6 linked regions of the Xenopus tropicalis genome follow. The protein of the gene in region 6 interacts with the protein of the main gene of each other region in a pairwise test. Links are inferred from orthologs where the notes say so. Each region holds a gene or a part of one and is shown on either strand. Other genes may lie near its edges.

Region 1 (3,500 bases), on a different chromosome or scaffold from region 6:
AGAATATACAAAAAAAAAAAGCTACTACAGTTTTTAGCTTGCCAGGATACAGTTTCTAAAACACAGAAATCCCAATCTTCAGAACCCTCCCTTCCTTTTTTTCTAATCACTAGCTCTCTCATTACCAAACAAGCAGATCTTCTCCCGATATGCCCACCTAAAGTGGGTGATATTGGGCTAGGGTTAAATGATGGGATTACAAAAACGGGTATAGGAGGCAATGCGGTCCCTGATCCAACCAGAAAAATCAAACCTGCCTGATTTTTGGCCAGATATTGGTCGGGGAGGCATGTCTGGGTCCCCATACACAGGCAGACAAGCTGCCAATTAGGGCTAAGGACTCTAATCGGTATCTTAAATCTGCCTGTGTATGGCAACTTTTATATTGAGTAATTTGTGATTTAATCACAGCTAGAGAGCCAACTGTTGTAACTAGATGATCCTTCAGCTGTCACAGAGCAACAATTCGCTCCTACCAAAGACACATGCCTTTTTTGTTCTCAACATCCAGAGGGCCACCACTCATATGGAGGAACATTCTTTTTTGTAATCATCAGACAGTGGCTCTCCAGCTGTCCCTGATTTCCTACCGTCAGCCAAGGGTGCATACAGTTCTTGTTCTGTAATGCTGGGGGATGCCACTTCCTCACATAAAACAACATTTTTGTTGTTGCATCAGTATTCAATAGCACTTATCAAAGGGCTGACCTCCACCTGTCCCTGATATACTATCTCCAGGCAAGGGTGCAAGATGGGGTCCACCACTCACATGATGAACATGCTTTTTTGTAATTATCCCATAGTATATATCATACAGTGGTCCTCCAGCTATCCCAGATTAACTACCTTCAGCCAAGTGTGCATGCAATTCTTGTTCTTTGACAACTGAGGGCCACCTACCCATGTGAAGGAACATGGTTTTTTTTTTTGTGAGTATTAAATAACGTGTATCATAAGGTGCCTCTCTAGATTTTCCTGAAGACTTCAATCCAAAGGTGGAGGCAGTTCTCCTCTTGTAACAGCTGGAGGGCTACCTGCTCACATGGTGGGATGCACCCAGCTCTTTAAGCACTTCAAATGCACTCTCCCAAAATAATTACTGCTGTATCCAGGTGGTAACAGTGCACCCATGAGCTTAGTGTCCTTTCTTTTTTAAATTTTTATCCCAGTAACAGTGTTTTCATTTATTTTCTTTCTTTAGCTGTTCTGAATCCAGTAGTAGCCTATTCCAGACTGAAATTACCTGCACACCTTCAAGAACCAGGAGACGACAAACTGCAAATAGACCCAAACCCTTGTCACCACTGTCATCTTTATCTGACTCCTCAGACTTTGAACCATTACCAAAGAATGTCCCTTTGGAAAAGATCTTTGAGCGGTTCAGGAAAATGAAAAAAAAACATAAGAGAAAAAGACAGAAAAAGAAGTACAGAAAGCATTTAATTACAGAAAAGAAACCCAAGAAACCTCCAACAAAAAAGCTCACTATTCCTTTGCAAGAAAAGTATCGCCGACTTAAAGAAAGAACAGTTGAGTTCCCTTTTACTGGCCAAAAATATTTGCATTTTAAACGGTATCTTCCTTATGAGGTGAGATATTTTTAAATTTTCATCTTTACGAAACAATTATATTGATTTGTAAATTGTAAATAGATTCAGTGGAACATACCATTAGATAAACGGTTTCAAGTTCTCAATGTTCCCTTCCAGGCCTTAATTTAGGGATTTTGTTTTAGGGCTAGAACTGGGGTAGGGAGAGGCAACTGCTTAGGACACAATGACGGTGGGCACCAGGCAGGTACCTTTCTTGCTTTTTACTTTGCCCCCACCCCTTGTCACTGAATGGCATACCCCCACCTACATTATTAATTTATGTAGCACTGTACAATAGGGTCAAACATACAGATGTCTTAAAAATATTTACATGAAGGGGCAGATTTACTAAAACTCATACATTTCTCATAATTTTATAAAATGTCTGACATTTACTAAAAAATATGAACTTACAAGTCACAGAAGCTGTAACTTTTTTGAATTGTCGCCCTGAAAACTAGAATTTTATTGCATTGTCACATAAAAGCCAGTGTAAAAAATCTGACACCTCTAAAGTTTCAAGGCAAAAGAAGGATCTTTCAGGAAAGGGGCTGGCCTCTACATGATCTTGGCAATTTTTAGCTGGCGAATTATCGGATTTGGATTTTTAGCTGTTTAGACGCATAGTAAATCTCAAAAATGTTGCAATTTTGTTTTCTGTGACTTTTCGGCACTAAAAATCTGAATTAGAAAAAAAAAAATCAGACGAATAGTAAATGGGCCCCTAAGGGGCCCATTTACTATTGCACAAACTGGCCGAATGCGTCCGAATGCGGTTTTTTTTGTAAAGATCTGTATTTTGCGATTTTTCGCAAAATTGTCGCGATTTTTTCGTAGCTATTCCGAATGTTTCGCAAAATGTATCGCTACGACTTGCGCGAATTGTCGCGACTTTTTCGCAGCTTTCGCGCTGAGTACGAAAGTTTCGGATTCATTCAAGCTTCAGTATGGTGACTTTTCTTGGGCCAGGTTGGAGCTGCAGGGTGCCATTGAGTCCTATGGGAGGCTTCCAAAATCATGCTAAGTCTGAAAGTTTCGCCCGCCGCTTACAAGCGCTCAATACGAAAAAGTCACGACAAGATACGAGCAAATCGTAACGGTTATGAAAAAGTCGCGGCTTTTCGCGCAAATCGTAATGGTTACGAAAAAGTCGCGACAATTTATGAAAAGTCGTAATGGCGACGAAAAAATCGCAATCGGAATTTTTCCAATTCGGATTCGAATTTGTGTCTTAGTAAATCAGCCCCTAAGTGTTTTATTGCACATGATAATTTCTAAAAATGGTTTCTCTTAAGTTTACCTTAGAATGAAACATTAATACCATGAACTGTTACACTGTCTATCCTAATATAGCTCACTTAAATTGCATTTCTTATCTGATGTATCTGATTTATACATTCACATACCTATTCAGTCTCTCTCTATTCAACAAACTTGAAAGAACTTTAAATATTCAGATGTGAGAGTGTGTTAAAAGCAAGAAATGAACTTAAATTGCACTGTAATGTAATATATCAGTTTAATTTTTAAAGAGGTAGTTAACCTTTAAGTTAACTTTTGTATATTATAGTATGGATTATTCTTAACAACTTTTCAATTGGTTGTAATTTTTTTAATTTCTTTATAATTGCTAAATAATATAACTCCTTTTCTGCCTCTTTCCAGCTTTCAAATGGGGTTCACTGACACTTGCAACCAAAAAACTATTGCTCTATGTGGCTGCAATATTATTGTTATTGTGTTTATTCTGTTTTATTCATGCTTGCGACTCTAATTCAAGCCAATGCTTTGTTGCTAAGGTAAATTGGACCCTATAAGAGCCGCTAAACAACAAAGCTAAATAAATCAAAACCATAACTAGAAAATGAAGATCAATTACAGATTGTCTAATGCAGTGGTTCTCAACCT
Region 2 (3,500 bases), about 140 Mb from region 6:
CCCCCTTTAATCGATTACGGCCGGGCCCTGTCATCCGATTGGTCGCGCCCCGTGCATACATGTGAAGAATCAGCAGCAGCAGAAGTCGACGATGACGACTTCGGGAGGCACTGTCTATGGGGGGCACTGTGTATGGGGGCACTGTATGAGGCACTTGGTGGCACTGTCTAAGGGGGGCAATTGGGGGCACTGTGTATGGGGGGCCCTGGCCAGCCTAGCATTAGGGGGCACTGTGGTAGGGAGGCCCTAATACATTTTAGGTCTGTGTCCTTTGCACTAATGGGAGGGGCCCTGGGGGAGGGGGGGCAGAAAATTTTGTTGAGGGGGCCCCATGATTTCTGATCGCAGCCCTGCTTTACACTATAGGACTGTAGTGAAAATGCATAGGGAAAGTTTCAGCCATATAGTCTTAGAACAATGGCGTACAAGACTGAAATTCCCATCTTATTCTCAAATTCCTTTCATTCTCTCCATTTTTTTCTCTAACCTCTTTATACAAGGAGTACAGAAAAACAATGGTTTGTATCGTCTTTCCAAGTCCCATCTCATCCGCCAGGATGGTGTCGGTTCCTTGGGCCCAAGAGAATCGCAGCCAGTTGAGTCCCTCCAGCTGATACATATGCAGTGTGCCGCCCGTGCTCGATACAAACTGGGGTTGGGTATCATACTTCACTGTAGGCTGCAAGGGAAACATACACAAGCGGATACTTTATCCCACAGATTAACCATGGTGTGAACTAGAGTCCTGAGTAGAACCAATTTTGAAACCCAAACCCACAACTCGCATTTCTACCCGCTTGGACCCACTACCCGACCCCCAACTTCCTTATCAGCAAACTGATCCCCTGACCACCATTAAAACAGGAAGTGCTGTTGCTGCAAACTGGAAGTGATGTCATCACTTCATCAGTGGACGGGGGGGGGGGGGTGAAAAAAAAAAACGTTTAGAAAGAGTAAAATATACATAAGAGAAATAGAGATAAAATAAGATAACATAAGAAATATAGATAGACCCGTGACCTGTCCCATTCGGAAATCCTACCCATAATCTGCAGGATACCTGTTTTCATTGGGTCATTGCTGCAGGACAAATACACGTGGCACTACCTGTCTACTAGTGATGTGCAGGATGAGAAAAACTTGACCCCCCCCCCACTCGATCCTAACCCTCCAGCAATTTTAGGTTGTGGGCAGGGAGAGTGAGTGGAAGAGCTCAACCTGAACCTACCCACGACCCGCAAGTGATGTGCTGAGGTTGGCCCGAACTGACCTGACCTATTGGTATTTGGCCGGGCCGCACATCACTACTGTCTACCCCCTTACACACTACTACTATTATGCCCGAGGGTTGGGTGGGTTCGGGCCAACCTTTGCACAACATTTTCTAGATCCAGGTGGGTACGAGTCGAGCTTTTCTGCTTGATCTTCCCACCCGAAACTTTACACTAGCGGCGTGAGCGTGCCACACCCCTTTTGTGACATCATCAGTGGGTGGGGCTGGCGCCGGTCCAGTTTTACTCTACCCACGCATCGCTACATGACAGATACAAAGACCATAGACACAGAGCAGGCTTACCCACCTATATACTACAATACCATGATACGTGTGGACAACACTTACGTCATTTATAGGAGAGCTGGGGACCCCGTGTAAATAGGATTCCTTATGTTGTCTCTTGTATTTCTGAGGGCAGCAGGCACTATCTCCCATCATCAGTTGCCTGAAAGAAAGAATTGGAAGGATGATTGCCAGTTTATCACCACCAAAAAAAGGAGGTAATGTGTGGCTCACAGGTATACTTGACTATATACAGGTATAGCTTTACTACCATTGCTGGTTGTACAATGAGCGGCCATTATAAAGGGGATCTAACCTAAAACATTAATTGATGCAGACTTAATCAGATGGTTCCCCTGAGCACTTTGGCAATTTATAGTAGTTTTCTCTTTTTCTGATATATTTGCAGTTTTAGACCACTAACACCAGGCTTTTACTCTTTTTAAAGGTTAAAGTTTCAGCGACCCTTCTAGTGATGTGTGGGTGAACATTTTGTGGACCCACACCCGACCTGCTGCCTCCCAACCCGATTCCAACCTGACCTGGCAATGTACCTCTATTCATAGACCCACGCCAGACACGCCCATTTCTGATGTCACAAAAGGGACTGGGCGGGGCAGGCGCACACCTATAAATAGAGGCTTCCAGGTCCAGAAGATGGGCAGTGTAATGTCACAGATGGGGCGGGCAGAAGCAAGAGGACAGCCCAGACCCATCCACGACCCAACAATATGGTGCGAGTGCTGATATTAATAGTTTAAAACTGCTAATATTTCAGAAACCACTATGAAGAAAAAATTAATGTAAATTGCAAATTATTGTAAACTGTTTCGATCATTTCATTTCTTGGGTTTAGATCCCAAGCGCAGTAATAGCCGAGAGGAGGAAGGTGCCTGGTAATCCGTGAGGATGAAAGAGAGCCCCCCAGCAAACAGACTTTACCTAAACCATCAAGCTGTACCAACAGTTAGGGCCCTCCCAGAAATGATATAATGCTGCCCCTTTACTTCTAGGAGACATACAAGCGGAAGATTCCGGCACTGCCATTTCTACCTGTGGCTTTCAATGGTACCTGTGCCTCCAGTACAACGGCTTGTGGTATTCATAGTCTGGCAGCTTCATGGCATCCTCCTCCCACGTGGACTGATCATAGGACAGGTCTCGCCATTTCACAAGGTAGTGATAGTTCCCTCGCTTATCCAGACTGAGGAGAGAATGTTGGGAAGCATAAATGGTGCACAGACTCGGCAAGTACCAATTACATACAGATTAAATCAAATTAGGAGCCATCCGCAGCATATGGTCTCCACAACCTGAAACAGTGATTGGTTGATGTGATGCTCCTCCCTCCATCTATTAGTTGAATAAGTTCCTATCAGATACTGATCTATCTACTATCTTGTCCCCATACAGCAGTGCCTGGGTATAGTCACCTTTAATAAAAATGCCTTGTTTAATAATCCTTTACACATCTACAGGCAGGGAGGTGCCCATCTATGACCATATGGAGTCTCTGGTACCATTTTCTATCAACAGAATTCTGGCAACCCAAGAATGAACTAATTTGTAGCCGTAAATTCAGTGATCGATTGGCCGCAGTAAATTGGGGTTTTGTAATAAAATGTACTACGTTTGCCCAGGAGCAGTAACCTATGGCAAACCAATCAGCAGGCAGAATTTTCTGGTTATCTGTTTAAAAGCAAACATCTTACTGATTGCTATGGGTTACTGCTCCTGGGCAAACTTACGGGGTTATGTAATAAAAGACACTAAGCTTGCCCAGGTGCAGTAACCCATAGCATCCAATTAGCAGGTAGAATTTAAAAGTCACCTGTCTAAAAGCAATCATCTTATTGGTTGATATGGGTTACTGCTCCTGGGCAAACTTAGTGCCTTTTTATTACATTTGGGGGTTAGTGTCTAATGAAATATGGGGGGGGGG
Region 3 (4,014 bases), on a different chromosome or scaffold from region 6:
GGAGGTGACTTTGCCTAGGTCTGGGTGTCCTGTCTGCATCCGCTCAGCCATTACTGAACCACAGGATCCTGTATGTGCTGATAACAGCATTGTTGACGTCTGTACCATCCATTTGACACAGTACCATCCATTTGACACATTTCTGACCGCTACTGCCTTTAGGGCTCTGGCACACGAGGAGATTTGCGTTTTTTCCCCCTGGTGCTTTGGCGACAAGTCGCCACGACAATACCCACAAAGAGATTTCATGCGAGTTGAGCTCCAGGCGATCTGCTACCCATGGTACACTCAACAGTCAACCCCCCCTCATGTTTACTCAAGTCGCTCAGAAAAGGGTCTGTGTGCGATTTTAAACAGCAGGCGATTTGAAGCTGACGCTGGCGATTTCCATTGATTTATATCTTGTCGCTCGTCTTGTCGCCAAATCGCTCTTTTAAAAATCGCTGGCAACAAATCTCCTCATGTGCCACAGCCCTTAAACTGGGCTTTCCCTAAAATTCTTCAGCTGATTAATCATCCATGCAATGGAAAGGTCATTGGGGCTCATTTATCAACACTGGGCTCATTTATCAACACTGGGCAAAATTGCACCTTGGCAGTAACCCTTGCCAACGAATCAGTGATTAGCTGTTTTCAGCTGGCTGAAGGTTGGGAAAGAAAAAATCTGATTGGTTTCCGTGGAGTTACGCCCAGGGGCAAATATGCCCTGTCTTGTAAGGGACCTGTGGTGTTTCTGAAAGTGCTATGCCGTAGTGATAAAAATACTAGGTATTTTAGCAGATGCTGCAGCTCTTATGTTGAAGTCTACCTTTGGAAGATAATACAGTGTGTGTATGTCATACAAACCCTGTTAACTGGGTGGAAATATTGAAAATGTGTATAAGTGTGGCCCTAGATATATGGGTTGTGGGTGACCATATGTACATAAACACTGTTTTCTTTTTCCTTTGAGACCTGTGGCATATCCAGTGGCCGCTCTAAACAACAGTATTTGTTGAACAAGGGGAGCTAAAAATGACGAACATTATTGGATATGCCTGCAGAGAATGGTGCATTGTTAATCATTTGTATAAATGTACTTGTGAATATTTGCTTAATGATAAAATGGCAAAGACTGGTGATTCTGAATGGTACCTGGAAAAATATATCTATTTTTTTTTTTATCAGATATGAATTCATATTCACTGACATTGTTTATGTTTTAATGCCAGTTTATTTGCAGAGTCGGACCTTGTCACTTGAAGTGTTCACAAATCCAATGGCTGACAAAAAACGCTTAGCTTTCTCCATTATTCGGCATTTACATGACCAGTTACGCAATGGTGGGCTTTCCTCAGATGCACAGGAGAGCCTGGAAGGTCTGGTTGTTACTTCATATTCTATCTTTCTGTTTATTTGATGGGGGAACTATTCTTATGAGACAAAATAGTTTTTTCTTTTCCTTGCTTTTTCATAAAACTTATGATATTCAGCCTGCACCCACCTGGGGCTACTGAACTACTGCCAGATACTTGAAGTGCAAGTTTAACAGGCAGTAGTCCAGAGGATGGAGAGCAGTACTTTTAAATGCATTCTAATATCTAAATGCTTCTTACCATGCATACGGGCAGTAATCCCCAACCAGTGGCTCGCAAGCAACATGTTGCTTACCACCCCTTTTGATGTTGCTTCCACCGGCCTCAAAATAGGTGCCCATTTTAAAATTTCTGGCTTGGAGGCAGGTTTGAAAGCCAGACACAGATTTACTCCAAGCAGAGCCTCCTGCAGGCTAGCAGTCCATTTGGGGCTACCAAATAGCCCATCAGGATGTTGAGAGTAAGTTAAGATTTTTTATGTAGTGTATAACGTGTTATGAATGTTTTGTTTTTTTAAATTATTAATGTAACAATTTTCAGCCTGCAACTGAAAATGCTCTCTGGTTGTTGGAGATCATTGACCTGGGCGAGTAAAATTGAATGAATGTGAGAGTTCAGATTTATTGTTAGTTTGATTATCTTTTTTTCTGTTCATCTTCTTTTAATCATCCATTGTGACTTCCAAACTGCTGTCTGGTTGTTGTATTAGCTTGCACCTCTGGTGGGGAAGTGTTTCTGTTGATCAGTCTCAATTACACCCTGATTCATTCATTTAATAACTGTAAAAAATGAAAATGTACAAGTTTGTAAATTAATATTGTGAATGTTAGTCCACAAATGTTTTCAATGCAAGCCTGCATTGAATGAATTAAGTGTTCCATCCCAGGGAAGTCTTCTGGTCTTTCTCTGATGCTTGAATGCAGGAACTATTGGATTACTTTAAATATATTTGTGTATAATTACTAGATGGAAGCATTATGTAATTTGAATTTTACAGTTGCTATTCAGTGCCTGGAGACAGCCTTTGAGGTTTCCATTGAAGACAGTAACTTAGCTGTACCAAGGAGTCTCCAAGAGATATTTACAGAAGCCACATGTCAGGTAATCCTTGTAATTAGTTATTGACTGACATGAAATGGCATTGTTTTGGAAAAAAATGAATTGCGAAATTCTAAACTTTTTAAAGTCTACATACCATATTTCATCTTTCTTACAAACTTGATAACATAAAGGAGTAGGAAAGTTACAGTTACTGGGGCCAAAGTCTTAGGCATCCCCAATCATTGTAATTGCTTGCCTAAAACCCCCAACCAGTGCTCCTCTTAGGAGAAAACTGCATGGCTGGTGTGTATGTGAGCTAGTGATCCTTCTTCACATGCTCAGTAGAGAGAAAAGCCAGCTTTTCCGCTCAACTGCGCATGTGTCTGTCCTGGGATTATAAAGAAAGAAGACAGGAGGAAGAGGAAAGCTAGCTTGCATATACCCTGGGCCAGTGCAATTTCATCCTAACAGGAGCACCGGGCACAGGTATCAGGTAAGAGATTACAATCACTGGTGGGGGGGGGCTAACATTTGGCACCCCTCCGTGATTTAGCCTTTCCTTCTCCTTTAATCACAGCTTTTACTATAAGACTTTGTAGCTCTACATTCTAAGCTTTCTTACCGTTTTGTAAACTGAAACTTAAAACTAGCAAAGAAGAAAGATTGGTTTGCTGTCTAGACCATAGTTTTGGGAAAATGGTAACTTAATGCGCTGTTAATTAAAGCATTCTTCTTCTCTCCTCCCAAATTCAGGACTCTCCGCAAGTTAATTCTGGCCTGGCCTCCCCTTGTGATGAGGATGTAGCAGAAGCTGAAAGATTGAAGACAGAAGGTTGGACACTTGACATGTTGCATGATCTCTTAAAGGACAAGGCAACGCAAAATATAATTTTTGCCTAATAAAAGAAAACAAGATTCTAAGCAGCTTTGCAATATACATTTATTACAAATTTGTAATGATTTTTGAGTAATTTGTATTTATAATTGCTATTAAAAAGCAGTGTTTGCCTGTCCTTTTCTATTCTCTACCCTGGTGACTCTGACTGTTGAAACAATGTAACACAAGGCAGCAGATTGACAGACTTGACTTGCTGGAGGAGACAGTTGCAACACTGATTAGAAAGTAACAACCAGGAGTTCAGCAAATGCTGCTTTCAATAGCAATTACATTTACAAATAACTTTTAAAGCGCTACAAATTTTTAACTATTTTTCATATTGGAAAATTGCTTAGAATTATGTTTTCTTTTCTTATGCAAAAAGTTATTTTTGGGGTCGACATGCCCTTTAAAATTGTCCCTTGTATTAATTGTTCATGACTGTGAGGTTATGCAGAATATTCAATTGCATTAATTGAGAAGCCATGGTATATTGGTAAAAAAAAAATGGCATTAAGGAGTACATTTTGGGACAAGAAAATACTTGTGGTAGCATAGTTAGACAGTATGGCAGTATAAGGATATTTGATTTAAAGGCGTTTATATAATCTCCACTTCTCTAAATTCACATCTTAACTTTTTTCCTATATTTTTCTTTATATCACCCTCATTTCACCTTTCACCCTTAATCCAGATTTCTTTGCCATTTGCCACTGATTTTGTCCATTTAATATAATTCCC
Region 4 (4,153 bases), on a different chromosome or scaffold from region 6:
TCAAATATGTCCATAACTGCTTGAAAACTGTGCTCTACCCAGACCTTATGCCAGCTTCCGGTTTAGACTCTTCAGTATATCACTCAGAGCCACCGGCCCTCATAGACTTCTATGACACCCTCCTCACCTACTTAAAGTGAAGTGAATATTCATAGAGTGGTTGGGGCTTAGTGAGCTCACAGACAGTCCATTCCTGCTCTACTCGCTCCTCTCTTTTGTATGCTGCTCTCATATAATGCCAGTTTTAGGAGGAAAAATGCTTTCAAAACATCTTTCTTTCTGCATCATTTCACATTTTGAGGGAGGATGAATATTAGAACTGAATATGAACTTTATATAAAATGTCTCCTTTAACAGAATTGGAGGATAACTTATTTATGTTACTCTATTTTAAGAGCCAGAGCATATAAAGGGATAAACAAATAGGTGATGGGGATATTGGGATAAGCAAATAATGCATTCAACTGCAATTACAAAAAAAAATAAAATCAATAAAAAAATTCAATGTTACTGAGAATTACATTCTTGTATTGTTGCACTTTTTAGAGTGGAGGCCGAAGGAAGTTAAAGGAAAACTATACTTCCCAAACAATGTACGTCTCTATAAAAACATATTGCATAAAACAGCTCATATGTAAAACTCTGTCCAACTAAATAAACCATTTTTATAAATAAAAGTTTATTAGTATGTGCCATTGGGTAATAGAAAATTGCCATTATAAGTACTAAGGGCCACCCCCTGGTATCATACAATTTACGGTGCACACAAATAAACCAAGGGCACACATACATATTAGGTCAGCCAATTAATGGAGAAAATTCTGACTTTTACTCCAACACTATTTCTTGTAACAGTTAGAGCTGCATTATTTCTGGCCATGTGATCTCTAAGGAAGCTCACAAACTATCACAAAATGATGGCTCAAGGTAAAAAAAGCAATATTTACTGAAATATATTAAAGTTTGGTAAGATTCTTTAGAACACCACTTATTATGATATAAACTATTTGCTGGCTAAGTATTCATTCTGGGGGTATACATTTCCTTTAACTTCTTAACAGCAGAATTCTACACCATCATTTGCAATTACGATCAGATTTACGAATGGGTTTTTGCCAGTACTCGATTTTTCTGATATTGTTTCCCGTATAATTAGAGTTTTACGAAAATAATCCCATCATTTGTGATTTATGAATTTTTTTGAGGGGGGTAATAAAAAAAAAAATCAGGCAGGTTTGATCTATCATGTATCACTGGGTCCTATTAGAAGAAAAATAGAATAGTCAGTGACAGCTTGTCCTTGACACATTTTCAAGGAGAAGTAAACCCCCTTTCTGTTTCACCCAGTTTCAAGTGTAAATTAATCCCCCTCATTGTTTTCTGTTGCACGTAGTTTCAAAGGGAAGTTAATTGACTTCTATTTCACACGTTTTCAAGTGGAAGTTAAGCCCATCATTGTTTTGTATTTCACCCAGTTTCAAGTGAAACTTGAATGTGCGCCAATTCTCCTAAAATGGCTGCTGGAGTAATTCCTGTTTGGGAAAAATAAAGAGGATTCATGGAAACATCCGTTCAAACTCAAAGTTTTCGGGTTTTAACATTACTTTCGGCTTACATAACTATTGTTCATGACCTATTGTTCTAAATGTGTTTTATACATTATAATATGCATTTAGATAGTAAAAACAATGAAATAATTATATGAATCTATTCCATATTACTTTAAACAATGGAAATGCCAAGTGTTGCTGTATAATATTTTTATGACGAATGGTTGCCAAATCTGCACCTTCACTAACAGTCACCAAACAAAACACCAGGCTTTTCTTGATCTACTGTAAAATATTAAAGCTCAATTTGTTAAACATTCTTTTGCTGCTTCCCTCATCTTGTTCACTCTGTTCTCATCATATCTAGTATAAATAAATTTAAAGCAATTGGACTTGTTTGGTAATCATTGAAGACGTTTCACTAGTCATCCGAGCAGCTTCTTCAGTTCAACTGACTGGTATGGGAAGTCCTCAGCATAAATACTCTTGAAGTATATAAGTATAATTAGAGTATATATGCTGAGGACTTCCCATACCAGTCAGTTGAACTGAAGAAGCTGCTCGGATGAGTAGTGAAACGTCTTCAATGATTACCAAACAAGTCCAGTTGCTTTAAATTTATTTATACTAGATATACCATGACCTGGATGAATGAAAATCTTCATAGACATATCTGTTCTCATCACTTTCTCCCTATGTTCCTATCACTTTCCCCTTCATCTATAGTACAAAATACCAAAAAATGTTCCATTTACCAATCACTACATTTTACTTACTTTAATTTCCCCACTCTGCATGTCACTGGCATAAATGCAATTTTTTAAAATCTCCATTGTGAAATATGATTTACAGCATACTCGGACTTTTGCAGAAAGTAATTAAAAAAAACATGGTGGAAGACCTTTGGTTACACAAATTCGGTCCCATACTAACATGTAATATACAGTATATGACATATAAATCTAGTCTGTGGAAACAGGTTGACACACAGGAACTATAATAAAATAGCCAAAACATACATTAATGGTTAAACAAAAAGTCAAAATTTAAAGTTACAAACAGCCACTCAAGGAAGCCTGCATTTAATCCAAATTTACATTTTATGAATGCAATCCTGTTAAATGAAAGGGTAACCACTGCAAATAACGCGATCCTTACCCTCCGCTGACAATGACCATCAGGTAAAATATTAAGAAGCAAACACCGGTAGTGGATTTATAGCAGACCTTCATGATTCAGATACGAGGAACAGACAAGTTTCTCAATTTTCACATTCACCACAACGAGGAGTATTTAGCGAAAAGCAGAAGCAAACGTAATACTACAGCGCCGCAACCAATTACAACGGAGCACGTCATAAGACACGCATATATAAATAACCAATAAGAAGATTTTGCTGTGTAGTTTCCGCGTGATTTTGTCCAATGATATTCACAGACATGGCAAACGTACATGCTTAGCTGTACAGCCAATAGTAATACGTAAATGGTCGTGCTTATGGTTTTATACGACTGATCCTGCACCTCGGGAAATAGAACGCGCGTTTATGTGCTTTCTTACATTGAATGGCTATGGCCTGGTCTGTAAAAATTGCCTTGACGCCAATAATGTCAATAGAGAAGAAAGATAAAAGAACAGCACAGCAGTGTTTGAGCAAATTTTAAATTCGCCCAAATGACATGATTGTTAATGTGCGTAATGCAATCAGAACTTTACATGAGAATGCAATACAACACGGCACGCTTCTATATAATTTAAGCTTTAGTTTCAATAGTCTTCGATTGTAAATTCTGTGGGGCAGGGACCTCCATGCACGTCATCTAGCTCTGTGGAATATTTAATGCAACTGTACTTTTTATTTATTTGTAATTGTACTCTGCCTTTATCTATTATATTAATGGCCCCTACTTGTTTTTGAATGTGTTGTTATGCTGTACAGCACTGCCTATATAGTAGTGCCATACCTCCCAACATTTGAAAAATGAAAAGAGGGACAAAAAGATTTTGACCACGCCCGCTTTAGTGGCCACGCCCCAATTACCACACCCCATTTTTTTAAAAAATACTCCTTTTGTATATTACATTAACATTTATTTATAAAGCGCCAACATATTCCGCAGCGCTGTACAATAAGTGGGTTACATACATTGGACATACAGAGTAACATATAAAGCAATCAATAACCGATACAAGAGGTGAAGAGGGCCCTGCCCAAAAGAGCTTACAATCTACAAGTAGATGAAATGGCGGGATCAGACGCAAATGTGCTATACTCTCCTGTATACTGTACTACCTAAGGAAAACAATATAGCAACTCCTACATATAAAATACAAATATAGAAAGAAGGCAGACAGTTATAAGTGAGTTATAACTATGTATCAGCTTTGCCCCCCATACACTGTAGCCCCCATACACAGTAGCCCCCATACACATTAGCCCCTATACACAGTAGCACCCCCATACACAGTACCCCCCCCCCCAATACACAGAGCCTCCATACATGCTGCTGCTGCTTCTCCTTCAGTGGCTCCTCTCTATATGCGGCTCCTTGTTCGGCGGAGCCAGGCCCTTTTATAAGGTTGCGTGTGTGCGTGTGACGTCA
Region 5 (4,277 bases), on a different chromosome or scaffold from region 6:
GGGCAGGGAAGGGAGGCTGGCAGGCAGGCAGCGGGGAAGGGAGGCTGGCAGGCAGGCAGCGGGGAAGGGAGGCTGGCAGGCAGGCAGCGGGGAAGGGAGGCTGGCAGGCAGAGGGGCAGGGAAGGGAGGCTGGCAGGCAGAGGGGCAGGGAAGGGAGGCTGGCAGGCATTGGGGAAGGGAAGGGAGGCTGGCAGGCATTGGGGAAGGGAAGGGAGGCTGGCAGGCAGAGGGGCAGGGAAGGGAGGCTGGCAGGCAGGCAGCGGGGAAGGGAGGCTGGCAGGCAGGCAGCGGGGAAGGGAGGCTGGCAGGCAGGCAGCGGGGAAGGGAGGCTGGCAGGCAGAGGGGCAGGGAAGGGAGGCTGGCAGGCAGAGGGGCAGGGAAGGGAGGCTGGCAGGCATTGGGGAAGGGAAGGGAGGCTGGCAGGCATTGGGGAAGGGAAGGGAGGCTGGCAGGCATTGGGGAAGGGAAGGGAGGCTGGCAGGCATTGGGGAAGGGAAGGGAGGCTGGCAGGCAGAGGGGCAGGGAAGGGAGGCTGGCAGGCATTGGGGAAGGGAAGGGAGGCTGGCAGGCATTGGGGAAGGGAAGGGAGGCTGGCAGGCATTGGGGAAAGTATAGGACAAATAAGCGGAAGGTAACGCCATGGGGCAGGGATGTAAGAATGCACTGGAGTATGGCAGCAGTTTTGGGACAAATTGCAGGGAGGGGAGCAATAGGCCAGGATAAATGCACTGAAATGAGGGAGCAGGATGTAGGGAAAGGATGCCGGGAGTTGTAGGCTCTGTAGGCACTGGCACTGTGGCAGCCAAGAGCGGACGAGGCAGACAAAAGACCTGCTACTCGGGGGGCTCCGGTACTTACAGGGTGCTCTGGACTCCCCCGGTGTTGGCCTGGCTCAGAACCTGGGTGAGCGCTTTGGGCCGCAACATATTCCGCTCAGTGCTGCAGCCTAACCTGTCACAGGGCCGCGGTCACATGAGCAATCCCACAGCCCGCCTCCCCAGGAAGTAGGCGCTAGGTATGATGGGTAATGTAGTCCGGCGAGCTCAGAATGCCGTATCTCGTACAATATCCATATAAAAGCTTCACAGAATCCTTTCCACCCAAATGGATGTCCAAATAACTGCAGGGTTCCTTTATATAAATGTCCCGAACAAGACACTGGATTAGCTGTTGCCAAGGTAACGCTAGGCCGTGAAACGCAAATCCAATAAATTCAAATAGTTTGTAATTGGTCGTGTGGCGTGTTATTGTTCCGTATTTTCAAGCCTCGCCCTCATACTCTCGTTTCATTGGGTGAGCGTGTCACCTGATTTAGAACATGACGCAGCACAGCTGGAACCTCAGTGCCTGTGATTCGTCCTCCGTGCCGGTAGGTGTCACCATGCGGCGAAGAGGTAAGTAGAACGGTCGGCGCTTTGCCAGTCATAGGAAGCCTATAATCCTCTCTTCGCGGCTTTCCTCCTTCCTATTGCTCCTCCTCGGGGTGGGCGGGTGCAGAGAAGATGGCGGAGAGCGGCGCTGATGGTGCGGCCTCCGGTACTACCGGGCCGGCTCCGGGAAAAGGACTTATTCGTGTCACCGTCAAAACGCCCAAGGACAAGGAAGAGATTGTTATTGGGGAAACGGCGTGCGTGCTGGAGGTGAGGGGCGGCTAACCCCGCCATCCTGCCTGGGGAGAGAGGGGCCAGCCCCAGCCTGAGAGCAATGGTCCCTCTGATAGAGAGAGAGGGGGACAGTCTGATAGAGAGAGGGGGACAGTCTGATAGAGAGAGGGGGACAGTCTGATAGAGAGAGGGGGACAGTCTGATAGAGAGAGAGGGGGACAGTCTGATAGAGAGAGGGGGACAGTCTGATAGAGAGAGGGGGACAGTCTGATAGAGAGAGAGGGGGACAGTCTGATAGAGAGAGGGGGACAGTCTGATAGAGAGAGGGGGACAGTCTGATAGAGAGAGAGGGGGACAGTCTGATAGAGAGAGGGGGACAGTCTGATAGAGAGAGAGGGGAACAGTCTGATAGAGAGAGAGGGGAACAGTCTGATAGAGAGAGAGGGGAACAGTCTGATAGAGAGAGAGGGGGACAGTCTGAGAGAGAGAGGGGGACAGTCTGAGAGAGAGAGGGGGACAGTCTGAGAGAGAGAGGGGGACAGTCTGAGAGAGAGAGGGGGACAGTCTGAGAGAGAGAGGGGGACAGTCTGAGAGAGAGAGGGGGACAGTCTGAGAGAGAGAGGGGGACAGTCTGAGAGAGAGAGGGGGACAGTCTGATAGAGAGAGGGGAACAGTCTGATAGAGAGAGAGGGGGACAGTCTGATAGAGAGAGGGGGACAGTCTGATAGAGAGAATGGAACAGTCTGATAGAGAGAGGGGAACAGTCTGATAGAGAGAGAGGGGGACAGTCTGATAGAGAGAGGGGAACAGTCTGATAGAGAGAGGGGAACAGTCTGATAGAGAGAGGGGAACAGTCTGATAGAATGGAACAGTCTGATAGAGAGAGAGGGGGACAGTCTGATAGAGAGAATGGAACAGTCTGATAGAGAGAGGGGAACAGTCTGATAGAGAGAGAGGGGAACAGTCTGATAGAGAGAGGGGAACAGTCTGATAGAGAGAGGGGAACAGTCTGATAGAGAGAGGGGAACAGTCTGATAGAGAGAGGGGGACAGTCTGATAGAGAGAATGGAACAGTCTGATAGAGAGAGGGGAACAGTCTGATAGAGAGAGAGGGGGACAGTCTGATAGAGAGAGGGGAACAGTCTGATAGAGAGAGGGGAACAGTCTGATAGAGAGAGGGGAACAGTCTGATAGAGAGAGGGGAACAGTCTGATAGAATGGAACAGTCTGATAGAGAGAGAGGGGGACAGTCTGATAGAGAGAATGGAACAGTCTGATAGAGAGAGGGGAACAGTCTGATAGAGAGAATGGAACAGTCTGATAGAGAGAGGGGAACAGTCTGATAGAGAGAGGGGAACAGTCTGATAGAGAGAGGGGAACAGTCTGATAGAGAGAGGGGGACAGTCTGATAGAGAGAGAGGAACAGTCTGAGAGAGAGGGGGACAGTCTGAGAGAGAGAGAGGAACAGTCTGAGAGAGAGAGAGGAACAGTCTGAGAGAGAGGGGGACAGTCTGAGAGAGAGAGAGGAACAGTCTGAGAGAGAGAGAGGAACAGTCTGATAGAGAGAGGGGAACAGTCTGAGAGAGAGAGGGGAACAGTCTGAGAGAGAGAGGGGAACAGTCTGAGAGAGAGAGGGGAACAGTCTGAGAGAGAGAGGGGAACAGTCTGAGAGAGAGAGGGGAACAGTCTGATAGAGAGAGGGGAACAGTCTGATAGAGAGAGCAGTCCAGTCTGATAGAGAGAGAAGGGAACAGTCAGAGAGAAAGAACAGTGAAGTGAAAGGAGCTCAGACTGATAGAGAGAAGAACAGTCTGATAGAGTGAGAAGAGCGGTCTGATAGAGTGAGGAGATCGGTCTGATAGAGGGTGAAGATCGGTCTGATAGAGAAAAGGAAGATCAGTCTGATAGAGTGAGGAGCCCAGATTGATGGAGAGAAAGATACGGCTGAGTGATGGAAAAGCCCAGCCTGGAAGAGGAAGGGGGAACAGTCTGATAGAGAGACAAGAACAGGCAGAAAGAACAGTGAAGTGAAAGGAGCTCAGTCTGATAGAGAGAAGAACAGTCTGATAGAGAGAAGAACAGTCTGATAGAGAGAAGAACAGTCTGATAGAGAGAAGAACAGTCTGATAGAGAGAAGAACAGTCTGATAGAGAATGTGCAGATGAGTCAGAGGAGCCCAACCTGAAAGTGAAAGAGATCAGATTGGAATAAATGGGCCGGGGCCTGATGGAGAAAGGGATGATCAGTCTGGTAGAGTGAGGAGCCCAGAATGATGGAGAGACAGATATGGCTGAGTGATAGAGAAGCCCAGCCTGGAAGAGGAAGGGATGGGTGGACAAGCAGGCCAAGCTGAAAGTGAAAGGGGTGATCAGTCTGAAAGAGAGGCGACCCTGTCTGGTAGAGAAAGGGATGGGTTAGTGCAGGGATCCCCAACCTTTCTTACCCATGAGCCACAGTCAAATGTAAAAAGACTTGGGGAGCAACACAAGCACCATAAAAGTTCATGGAGGAGCCAAATAAGGGCTGTGATTGGCTATTAGGGGCCTCTATGCACCCTATCAGCTTACAGGGGGCTTTATTTGGTAGGAAATCTTGTTTTTATTCAACCAAAACTTGCCCCCAAGTCAGGAATTCAAAATAACTCCCTGGTTTGGGGGCACTGAGAGCAACACC
Region 6 (3,500 bases):
AACCAGGACCGGCAGCTTGAAGAGAGCCCTGCACAATGCCGAGTGCCAGAAAACCGTGACCCTGTCCAAGCCCTGCGGGAAGGTCACCAAACCAAAACTTCAAGGTGAGTCTCCCCCCCCTTCTTATGTCACACATGGTATATTCCCAATTTGCAACCGGAATGTTTCTCCCCTTGCCATGAACATTATTGTGCCCCGTCTCTCCCTGCTGCCATCAGTTTGTGCTTCCTGGGGTCACACGGGGAGAGGGCCCCGGCCTGTGCTTATTGGCCGCGTGTCAGCGTCCAGCTTCCATTACACTCTGAGCCGACGCTCCCCTCCCAGGAAAGGGAATCCATTGCCTCCTGACATGATTATCCTGTTTATTCTGCACGCCCTGAATTATTGATCAGCGCTGCAAGTGCTTCTGGGAAATGACTGACCCAGAGGCATAAATATTAATACTAATGAGCTGCAACAATGCGCCATCTATAAAGTGGTGTTTAGGCGCCCGAGCCGCTTTGTGGCTACTGGAATATACAGTACGACTTTACTGTCTGCCATAGGAGGGATCCTTTCTCCCATGTAATTATAGATGCAAGAAAATTCTCCAATGAGCATTCTACTGACTAAATATCTCATTATAAATGCAGGAGAAGTGACCAATGAGAATGCTGATTCCCAGCACTGTGTCGGCCATCTTGCTGGTACCTTACATATAGAGATAATGATGGCATTTTTCCCGTCATTATATGGCACAGGAATCAGACATGGGGATAAAGGGACAGACTTGTTCAGTGCTGGGAAACTGTGCTTATTGCTCCCAACTCCAATTGCAGGAACAGAGAACAGGGAGCCGGATTTACTCACATCAGCTGGGATTCCCATTGGGGGATTTGGGGGAAAGTTTTATTGGGCAATATTGCTTTAAGAATCCAACCCTGATGTTGCTGGACTACAGCTCCCAGCATGCCTCAGCCTTCATTATATGTTACATTATTCTGGGATTTGTAGTCCGGATACAACTAAATAAAGTTGAGCAGTGCAGAAGGGTTTATATCCCCTTTAACAGAAAGCAAGTATTGGGGCTGATCAGGGTTTAACTGGGTGGGTCAAGTAAATCTGTAATACCTACCCCAGCCTTGGGGGGTGTTTTATTGGCTAGGCCAGTGGTTGGTTTGTGGATAAGGCATTAGTGGGTATCAGGTAAAAATGCAGGTCTGGGTCAGAAAATGGACCCATGTAGGACTGTACCCTGATCTCTACTGTCAGGCTCCCTGGAGTCCTTGGTTATTTTCACAGGGACTAAACCAAGTAGAAAGGAAAGCAGGGAGAGCAGAGAGATGGTGCCTCTAGTGGCCACAGACACAAACTGCGGCTCGAAAGGCTTCCCCAGTGTGGCAGCTCCATTCCTAATAAACGCCGCACAGCCCTTCCTCTGATTATAGGAGAATTCTGGGGGAAATGGCAGGGTTAGCTTTGCCTTTCCGTATAAATGTGACTATGGGGGGGGGGGGGAAATTGCTAAACTGGAGCATATGTCTCTCATCTAAACCACTCCCTGGTTGCTAAGGTAATTTGAGCCCTAGCAACAGGATATCTGACTCTTTCCAGATTTCAAATGGGGGTCACTGACCCCGGCAGCCAAACCCTATTGCTCTGTGAGGCTCCAGTTTTATTGTTATTGTTACTTTTTATTCCTTATCTTTCTATTGAGGCCCTCCTCTATTCATATTCTCTTTTAAACCACTGATTGGTTGCTAGGTTAAATAGGACCCTAGCAACCAGAAAACATCTAACTCTTTGCAGCTTTCAAATGGGGGTCACTGACTCCGGCAGCCAAACCCTATTGCTCTGTGAGGCTCCAGTTTTATTGTTACTGTTACTTTTTATTCCTTATCTTTCTATTCAGCCCCTCCCCTATTCATATACCAGCCTATCATTCAAACGCCTCCGTGGTTGCTAAGGTCATTGGAGCCCTAGCAACAGGATAACTTACCCCAGCAGCCAAACCCTATTGCTCTGTGAGGCTCCAGTTTTATTTTTATTGTTACTTTTTACTCTTTATATTTCTATTCAGCCCCTCCCCTATTCATATACCAGCCTCTCATTCAAACCACTCCCTGGTTGCTAAGGTAATTTGAGCCCTAGCAACAGGATATCTGACCCCAGCAGCCAAAACCTGTTGCTCTGCGAGGCTCCAGTTTTATTGTTATTGTTACCTTATTCATATACCCGTCTCTCTCTCTCATACCACTCCCTGGTTACTAAGGTAATTTGGACCCTAGCAACAGGATAACTGATGAAATTCAAAACGGGAGAGCGTAAAATAACTTAAAAAAAACTACCAATAATAAAAAATGAAGACCAATTGCAAATTGTCTCAGAATATGACTCTCTACATCCTACTAAAAACTCTTTAACCCTTTACATTCTGTAGATTGTACAATACAATGCGTTGATTTTACGTTTCAAGGTCATGCATTGGGGGGGCCGATACATATTTATTCCCTTAATGCTGCTTATTCCATTTCCCCCCTATTTTATATCATCATTACCCGGCAGGAATTACGGAACAATCCGCGCTTATGTTCCGCCAGACTGTACCTGGGGGGCAATTTGTGAAGCTAAAAGCGGGGAGCACTTACCCTTCGTTGGCTGGAATGGTTGGAACGTCAGCGCCGGTTCCATGGAAGCTCATTGTGATCGTGTTATTGTTATTATACAGTGCGGGGGGTTTATTGTGCTCCATAAAATGATACGTATGGCTCGTGTCGGTTTCTCTGCCCTATTATTTCAGCTCATTTTCTTAGATAAGCGGGTTGGTAAATACTGTGCCCCGGCTGTGGCGCTTCCCTCTATTGCCGGGACTGTAATTCTTATAGCGATCCTGCTGCTTTATATTCACCTGCTTAGTATAGAGAAATGTTTATACAGCCATAGAGTTATGGTATCTCTCTGTACGGGCTATGGGCAAACTTAGGGGGCTGTTCCTGCTGAATTGTGCTTAGTACAGGGGAATCCCTATGTGCCATAGTTTTATGGTATCTCTCTGTACAGGATATGAGCAAACTTAGGGGGCTGTTCCTGCTGAATTGTGCTTAGTACAGGGGAATCCCTATGCTGCCATAGTTTTATGGTATGTCTCTGTACAGGCTATGAGCAAACTTAGGGGGCTGTTCCTGCTGAATTGTGCTTAGTACAGGGGAATCCCTATGTGCCATAGTTTTATGGTATCTCTCTGTACAGGCTATGGGCAAACTTAGGGGGCTGTTCCTGCTGAATTGTGCTTAGTACAGGGGAATCCCTATGTGCCATAGTTTTATGGTATCTCTCTGTACAGGCTATGAGCAAACTTAGGGGGCTGTTCCTGCTGAATTGTGCTTAGTACAGGGGAATCCCTATGTGCCATAGTTTTATGGTATCTCTCTGTACAGGCTATGAGCAAACTTAGGGGGCTGTTCCTGCTGAATTGTGCTTAGTACAGGGGAATCCCTATGTGCCATAGTTTTATGATATCT

The links.
Region 1: the proteins of ptn (region 6) and taf1d interact in a two-hybrid assay, tested with the Homo sapiens proteins (2 studies listed by BioGRID and IntAct). The link is inferred for Xenopus tropicalis from reciprocal best matches to the Homo sapiens genes PTN and TAF1D.
Region 2: the proteins of ptn (region 6) and chd3 interact in a two-hybrid assay, tested with the Homo sapiens proteins (2 studies listed by BioGRID and IntAct). The link is inferred for Xenopus tropicalis from reciprocal best matches to the Homo sapiens genes PTN and CHD3.
Region 3: the proteins of ptn (region 6) and sgta interact in a two-hybrid assay, tested with the Homo sapiens proteins (2 studies listed by BioGRID and IntAct). The link is inferred for Xenopus tropicalis from reciprocal best matches to the Homo sapiens genes PTN and SGTA.
Region 4: the proteins of ptn (region 6) and dnajb11 interact in a two-hybrid assay, tested with the Homo sapiens proteins (2 studies listed by BioGRID and IntAct). The link is inferred for Xenopus tropicalis from reciprocal best matches to the Homo sapiens genes PTN and DNAJB11.
Region 5: the proteins of ptn (region 6) and ubqln4 interact in a two-hybrid assay, tested with the Homo sapiens proteins (2 studies listed by BioGRID and IntAct). The link is inferred for Xenopus tropicalis from reciprocal best matches to the Homo sapiens genes PTN and UBQLN4.

Annotation. Positions count from the first base shown.
Region 1 is NC_030678.2:100,288,672-100,292,171, reverse strand, and holds part of taf1d (TATA box-binding protein-associated factor RNA polymerase I subunit D), read left to right. Parts: intron 1-1,201; coding exon 1,202-1,589; intron 1,590-3,500. UniProt on the Homo sapiens protein: Component of the transcription factor SL1/TIF-IB complex, which is involved in the assembly of the PIC (preinitiation complex) during RNA polymerase I-dependent transcription.
Region 2 is NC_030679.2:146,918,622-146,922,121, forward strand, and holds part of chd3 (chromodomain-helicase-DNA-binding protein 3), read right to left. Parts: intron 2,763-3,500; coding exon 2,631-2,762; intron 1,722-2,630; coding exon 1,622-1,721; intron 680-1,621; coding exon 488-679; intron 1-487.
Region 3 is NC_030677.2:99,258,909-99,262,922, forward strand, and holds the start of sgta (small glutamine-rich tetratricopeptide repeat-containing protein alpha), read left to right. Parts: upstream 1-1,214; 5' UTR 1,215-1,258; coding exon 1,259-1,358; intron 1,359-2,352; coding exon 2,353-2,456; intron 2,457-3,149; coding exon 3,150-3,228; intron 3,229-4,014. UniProt on the Homo sapiens protein: Co-chaperone that binds misfolded and hydrophobic patches-containing client proteins in the cytosol. Mediates their targeting to the endoplasmic reticulum but also regulates their sorting to the proteasome when targeting fails.
Region 4 is NC_030685.2:43,695,059-43,699,211, forward strand, and holds the start of dnajb11 (dnaJ homolog subfamily B member 11), read right to left. Parts: upstream 2,801-4,153; 5' UTR 2,783-2,800; coding exon 2,709-2,782; intron 1-2,708. UniProt on the Homo sapiens protein: As a co-chaperone for HSPA5 it is required for proper folding, trafficking or degradation of proteins.
Region 5 is NC_030684.2:133,265,887-133,270,163, reverse strand, and holds the start of ubqln4 (ubiquilin-4), read left to right. Parts: upstream 1-1,477; 5' UTR 1,478-1,502; coding exon 1,503-1,640; intron 1,641-4,277. UniProt on the Homo sapiens protein: Regulator of protein degradation that mediates the proteasomal targeting of misfolded, mislocalized or accumulated proteins.
Region 6 is NC_030679.2:6,056,056-6,059,555, forward strand, and holds part of ptn (pleiotrophin), read left to right. Parts: coding exon 1-104; intron 105-3,500.